Linked DNA regions of Drosophila melanogaster. The main gene of each other region encodes a partner of the protein of the gene in region 2 in a complex. Each region holds a gene or a part of one and is shown on either strand. Other genes may lie near its edges.

What was found. Proteins that work in one complex are often made in the same cells at the same time.
Region 1: MED7 (region 2) and MED21 share a complex: the UniProt entries of both Drosophila melanogaster proteins name them as parts of the mediator complex.

Annotation. Positions count from the first base shown.
Region 1 is NT_037436.4:25,114,311-25,117,935, forward strand, and holds MED21 (mediator complex subunit 21), read right to left. Parts: upstream 1,637-3,625; 5' UTR 1,519-1,636; exon of another isoform or gene 1,415-1,518; 5' UTR 1,394-1,414; coding exon 1,352-1,393; intron 1,296-1,351; coding exon 909-1,295; 3' UTR 614-908; downstream 1-613. Other genes in the region: Set1 (SET domain containing 1), read left to right, coding at 1-357, 414-587. UniProt on the Drosophila melanogaster protein: Component of the Mediator complex, a coactivator involved in the regulated transcription of nearly all RNA polymerase II-dependent genes.
Region 2 is NT_033777.3:10,759,553-10,763,326, reverse strand, and holds MED7 (mediator complex subunit 7), read left to right. Parts: upstream 1-2,294; 5' UTR 2,295-2,393; coding exon 2,394-2,723; intron 2,724-2,784; coding exon 2,785-3,117; 3' UTR 3,118-3,256; downstream 3,257-3,774. Other genes in the region: Cap-H2 (chromosome associated protein H2), read right to left, coding at 1-298, 878-1,080, 1,302-1,483, 1,711-1,744. UniProt on the Drosophila melanogaster protein: Component of the Mediator complex, a coactivator involved in the regulated transcription of nearly all RNA polymerase II-dependent genes.

The DNA.
Region 1 (3,625 bases), on a different chromosome or scaffold from region 2:
CAAGGAATTTCCCGCGAAGCTCGCTCAAACCAGAGAAGACTTTTAACAGCCTTTGGTTCTATGGGTGAGTCTGAGCTTTTAAAATTTAATCAGCTAAAGTTTCGGAAGAAACAGCTTAAGTTTGCAAAATCTGCGATACATGATTGGGGATTATTTGCAATGGAGCCCATAGCTGCAGACGAAATGGTTATTGAATATGTTGGTCAGATGATTCGACCTGTAGTTGCTGATCTAAGAGAAACAAAGTATGAAGCAATTGGGATTGGGAGTTCCTATTTGTTTCGAATTGACATGGAAACTATAATTGACGCAACTAAATGTGGAAACTTAGCTCGGTTTATAAATCACAGTTGCAATGTAAGTAAGCTGGATGTTCTGACATTATGTTACCAACATAAAATTTTGTTTTTCAGCCGAATTGCTACGCTAAGGTTATAACTATTGAATCTGAAAAGAAGATAGTAATATATTCAAAGCAACCCATTGGTATCAACGAGGAAATAACTTACGACTATAAATTTCCACTAGAAGACGAAAAAATACCTTGTCTATGCGGCGCCCAAGGATGTCGGGGTACACTTAACTAATACTTATTTACAACAATGAATTAAATATTTTAGAGCACATAAATTTAATTTGTTCATAAAATCCAAAGTGGGGTACGTGTAAGTATATATAGTTTTTTTTATAACTTAAAACTATAATTAATTATTATAAAAATTATATCAACGAGGTCAGAGGTGCTGTTCAAAATGGTTTAGGTCTAAATTAAGCTAAAATACTTTACTTATAAAAACAATATGTATATACTAAAACCCATTTGATCTGTAAACACGAACGAAAATGCAATAAATACATTATCTTAAATTTAAAAATAATTTGCCTTTATACAAAAATGTGTTAAGCAGCTATTGTAAATCATGTTTGAGTGTTATTTGCATATCTAATTGAGCCTGAGCAATGCATTCCAAAGAATACTGCATTTTTTCTAGCAAAAGTTCGCCTTTTTGCACTACTTCCTCTAGGTCTCTTGCAGTTCCCTGGTTTTCGATCTCGAGCCTCTTAAGGCTAGAATTTTGGAGTTCAATGGAGCTGTCTTCATTTGGAAGAGACTCGATTAAGGTGTCGATGTCTTTAGCACATCGTGCAATTAACTGTGCAAATAATTGGGCATAGTCTTCTTGCGGCGGACATGGGATTGGCGTTTGGGGTCCAATGCGTTCAAAATTAACAAATTTACTTGGAAGGGACGTTTGTTGAATTACACCAATAGCATTGCAGAAGTGCTCCGCTTGCTGCAATGATTATTTTACATAAAAAACTGGTTATTTCTTAATACGAAGTCACTTACCTGATTAACGGTGTCTTGCAATTGTGTAAGCCGATCCGCCATTTTACTACAGAGTTAATAATTCTGAAAAACAAAAAATTATATGGAATTAAGTTTGATTAGCCAGTTCAAATTTTGATTAACATTTTTAATATCAACATAACATAATCAACATAATATCAACATACAATGACCGTTGGTGATTTTTATAATATATAAGCATTTATTTATCGATTGATTTTATGTCTTATTTACAGATACCTCACAGCAGCGACTATTCTCTTAAAAAAAGAAATGCTATTAATATGAGTTCCACACTAAAACGTGATTTCTTTCAATGAGACGAATTATTCTTGTTCACACTGTGCCATAATAATGTCTTCATTCCAACGATATAAACTACCATAAGATTGTCGGAAACAGTGGAATCTCCATAATATATGACCACACGTTGCACATCGATCCCTCTTGTCTTGTTCAAAATCATCACAATTTCGGTTATAACAAGGAAGCAGTTGGTCTCCAAGTAGTCTGCAACCTCTCTCACACAATCTTGGTATATCCTTGAGGAGGGTATATCGATTTCAGTTATAAGCTTGCAACGAAGTGAAAAAAGCATTTCAGTCCAATTAAGTGGGTATAAATATCAGTAAGAACAGCCGTACCCTTTTTCACGATAATTATTCTTTTAATTTTTAACATATCTAAATCGGTTCACCATATCTTAAAGATGTCATATGAAAAATTTTAAAGCTACCTCTCTTGTTTTTTAAAGGTTTTTAAAAGCAACAAAGATTTTATGATACGAACACTTTGTGCCTCCGATTAGTTTTCTTGTGAGGGGATTTGAATGGGTGGTCAGTTTTACTAGGTATTTTAATTTTCTTCTCAGTTATTATTTCGATAAATAATTTGATTTTTTTCTCTCTGTGTATGTCTTCGTTCCGAAGGTATCACGCTCTAGTCAGAATTCTCAGAATTGTTGGCTGTTCTCGCTGAATGGATGCCCCACAGGTCGGAGCCATAAGTCCAGATTGGTTTTAAGACGGAGTTGTATAGGAGAGCTTTGAACTCCACGCTAAGTGGAGAGCGAGCATGAGCCAGTGAAGGTTCCTTGCATCTTATTGCGACTTCAGTAGCTTATGTATGTTTTGGAACAATAGCTTGGCTAGTTTAAGCAAAAGTCCATCCAGAAACACTGTCAAATGCCTGCGCGACGTCTAGTAAAATGGCTGTGTAATATTCTCGATGCTCAAAAGCAGTACGAATTTCTGACGTGATTCGATTGGCCTGTTCGATGGTTCCATGTTTTTTCCATGACGAGGGCTTATTCCCAGGAGTAGCATTTTTTCAAATAAATTTTAGAGATAAGTTAGTTACTGTATCGGTCTATATGATGATGGCTGCGTTTTATCTTTTCCTGGCATTGGAATCATTACTATGGTAGATTTTTTCCATTTTTGAGGGAAGTATCCATGCTTGGCGATTGCGTTGAACAACAAGCACATGTGCAGAACATCACACTGGGAGTTCAATAAGGATTTTTTGAGTTATTAGGTCGAAGCCAAAATCGCTTCAGTTGCTTTTTGATAACCTTTGCTAATTCACATAATCTAAGTTTGCTTCTGCTAAAGGAGGGAGAATAATGACTTTATAGCAGGATTTGGTAGAAATAAAATTTGTAAGTGGTCAGCAACTGCTCTGGCTCTTTTCTCATCACTGTCTTTTCTCTACAAAAGGTTCTTAGTGCTGGTGGGCATACGTCACTTTGCACCCGAAACTAGAATATTTTCAACAGTGTCCGTTGACTTGTCTATATTTTCCTTAGCAGATAATGCCGGCGTTAGTTCTATGTGTGATCTGGGTCTGGGATTTTTCTTGGGTCTGCTGGTCAGTATGTATTGGATAGCGTGGTGGGCAGTAGACTGCGGCTAGAGTCATTGAACCATTGTTGAGTAGTTAGACTATGGACGTAGATTGAGGTGGTTTTTATGCGATTTCTGATTAGTATGCCAGTGCCTCCAAGAGCTTTACCATCTGAATGATTTGTGAGGTGCGTTTCTGATAGTAGCATTACTCCAGTGTTTTTTTCGGTAATGAACTGTGTGAGTTCTTGTGTATGAAGTGAATAGATATCCGTAGGGAAGCCAGCATGGGGATTTTGAAGATACAAGAAGTTGTATCAGGAAATTTTGCACGTTTTGATCGTTATGAAATATTTCATGCTTTTCTGTAGGGATAGCATCATAGCTTCAATGCCACTTTGTTCAGTTTGTTGCATATTTGTCAATTTAT
Region 2 (3,774 bases):
TACGTGATACGTAAACATTTTGTATTGCTTTTTCTCATCCTGGTCGTAGGGATTGTGAGGATCCACAATTGGCGCGTGTTTCCACAGGTTGGGCGGCGTGTGATCCTGATAAAGGTATTCTATCGTCCGATTTCTCGTGCACTTTACAAAGCCCGCCGCGTTGAAGCGCTTGTCGTCCGACATGGTTTTAAACCTTTTCGGTTCCAACGTGAGCAAATAGGGATCAACTTCCTTGTTAGTTAGCTTTTTAGGGTGACGTTTGCGCGTTTCCTCAGGCCTGCGCTCGTTTTTCTCCGGTCTGTAAATATGAAAGGAAAACAATTATTATATCGCTAAATGCAGATTAAAAGAGGATAAGATTTCTTTTTTTTAAAGGACTGATTATTATGTAACTTAAATATTATAATGAAATCATCTTATGTTTAATCAAAATACTGGTGCTATCTTTAAAATTAATTAGACTTTCAACATTTAGGTCAAATAATCTCCCCAAATTCTTTAATGCCGGCTGATAAGAAAGAATTTAAGTGAATTATAATGTAAAAATATTTATTTAGGATGTGATCTATCTCTGAATAACTTGTTATTTTTATGAATGAACTGTCTACGTTTTTAGCTTCACTTGTCTGGTTAATTTCTCATTTCTTTATATACTCTGTTTGTTATTTGTTTTTGGAAGCACGAGAACGTGCCCTATCGTCCATTAACGGCAAGCCGGCTTCTGTGATATTAATGCAAACAAAGCCGAAGGGGGCGTAAAGTGAAGCTCGATAAGCGGAATTCTGGACCGAAAAGAGCCAGCAATGGCGACAAGTGGGGAGCACGTGGCCTTGTCTTTCTCCATCTTCTTAACTCTTCAGTTCTGAGTTAAACTTACGCAGCACTTCCGCTAGGGGTCTCCTTCTGCAACTCCGATGTGAGCAGGGCTTCGATCTGGTGCTCCACCACCTGGCACAGGTACTCCACTCGGTCTCCATAGATCTTGCCGCAGTACTGGAGGGCACTTCCTGCGGCCACGATGGCCGATCTTCGAGAGACATCATTTCGTCCTAAGCAGTGGCGCAGTAGCTCTTCAATATACTGAAAATATAAGCAATGTATTTGAGGATCTGCAGGCTTTTGTGTTCACTGTAAATAAAATAATAGATTTTCTTGAAAACCCATTTATATAATTTTAGTTAAAATACCAGTTATCGAGGCATGACTGTAAAACCCACGCACGTTGCGTCACACTTTTATTTTGATCTTTCTGCTCTTCGGCGGTTTTGCTTATCTTGATAATAGTGGTCTTCAACACTCACATATCCCAGTGATATCCGTAGGTCCGTGGAGTAGTCCGTGTTTTTGGAGAGCTCTTCGAGGAGGACGACTAGCGAGGCCAGGTCCTGTTGCTCATCGTAGGCGCGGATGCACTTGGCCACTTGGGTTCCCGGCCGATTCTTGGCTATTTCCAATATCTGCTCCCGCGCTTCGCTCAAGTAGGCTGTGAATTAAATAGAAACCGATTGGATTTACTTAAGCAAAAACCACACACCCAATCGCAGATCCGCTTTATTGTTTATTTCGGCCCTCCCCATACACACACACACACACTCGCATAGAAGCACCAACACACGCGGTATACTGGAAATAGCGCTGACTTAATCAATGGGAAACGAAGATCACGCCTGGGGCTGTCCTGCGTTGGTTACCTAAGTTCTGGATGCTTACCCGCTTCCGCTTCTTCAGGCAAAATCCGCTCCATGGCTCACTAGATGACACTAGGAAAAGTTTGTTTTATGTCCGGTTTTGCACATTTTACTGGCATCGTGCACAAGCACTGCAAGCACGCACACACGCTGAGTGGGGAAATCAAAATGGTGGAGGCAGCACGGCTTGTCTCTTAGTTGGGTCCAGTTATGTTATGGTTTTACGTTTTGTTTTCATTTCTTTGGCAGGAACAGGAATATTGGCGCGAATCGGTGCTGGAACAATTAGCTATTCACATCAAGATATATATGTGTTTCTTATTTTGTTGTGCTCTACCGACGAATGAGGGAAGAGACGGAGAAAAATTGCTATGGCAATGCTGTAGGGGGTGCATGCAAGCATGGTCACCTTTAAGTTATCGATAGCTAGGCACGGTGAATCATTTATTATTTCGAGCTCGATTAATATCTAATTTAATTTTTGTAATTGTAAATTATTTGTCAGTGTCTCAAAACATATTATAATAAATTCTGCTTATTATTGCATTGTCTAGCTTCAAACCTCTAGTGTGCTCATTTTTAAGAAAACAATTTGAGTGATAGTGTCATCACTATCGTGAGTGATTCGCCTGTCTCAGGTGCCATCACTTCTTCAAAACAAAAATCATTTATTATTTTTGTATTTCCGCACTTGTTAATCTCATAATGTCCAACCAGGAGACCCAGGTTTCCAGCCTGCCGATGCCGCCGGAGCGGTACATCGCCAATTACACGGACGAGAATATCCGCCGCAACCGAGCGCCACGCCCACCGCCGCCGCCGGCGCAGCACGAAGTCTATAGCATGTTTGGCATCCAGTACAACAACGACGAGATGATCCGCAGCTTGGAGTCCCAGAATATTAAGCGACTGATCCCCATCCATTTCGATCGGCGCAAGGAGCTCAAGAAGCTTAACCACTCCCTCTTGGTCAACTTCCTAGATCTCATTGACTTTCTTATCCTGAATCCTGACAGCCCGCGGCGCACGGAAAAGGTGAGTCAATTGACCCATTAAAATGTAGCATCTATTGTATTACACTCATTTGATATCTTAGATTGACGATATCAGTCTGCTGTTCGTCAACATGCATCACCTCCTCAATGAATTTCGCCCACATCAGGCGAGGGAAACGCTGCGCGTCATGATGGAAATGCAGAAGCGGCAGCGCGTTGAGACCGCCGCCCGTTTCCAAAAGCACTTGGAACGTGTGCGCGAGATCGTTAATACCGCCTTCTCAGCTCTGCCGGTTCTAGATGATGACGACGATAGCGGCGGAGCAAAGATTAAGACGGAGGTGGATCCGTTGGAGGCGAATGCGGCGGCCAAGAATGATCCCAGTTACCAGCACGATCGCATGTTGTGCAAGCTTGTGGACGCTATCGAGTAAGCTGAGTTGGCAAAAGACTGGACATCGACGCTGGAAATAGTGTCAATCATTGTGAATGGCTTGGAAAAAAGAGCTCCTCATATTTATAACTCCTTTTAGTATAAGAAATAAAACCCCAATTGTGGGATGAGAATCTTGCACGTCTAATGAGTAATTCATTCAATGGGAATTAATGTGTTAAGTCATCTTTGAGATAAGCTTTACACAGATAAGATCCGAGATAAAGGCTCATGATTAAGCATCCCACAAATTTCACCATTAAAATGACGTAGTCAGCGTGGAGTAATAATATAGTCAAATGTCATAAATTAATAATCTATCTAGAACAATTTATTCAGGATAGGAATAACAATATAAATGTATATATTTAATTGTAAAAATTGTAAAGACATGTGACATGACATGAGACATGAACACCTCACACGTTTTCCTACTTTTAATGGGTGCTACCGCATGGCATCATCGTGGCTAGCCGAAATATGCTCGTACAGTGCGTTTCATAATGTACATATACATATGTGGTTTTAATGAATTTGTATGGAGTTTCATCAAAATTACTAATTTTGTTTGATAAACATGATTAAAAAGTCAATAGAGATATTCATTCACAACTGGAGTATAATGTTTTCCCTAAAATTTTTTTAACTCACTGTGCCC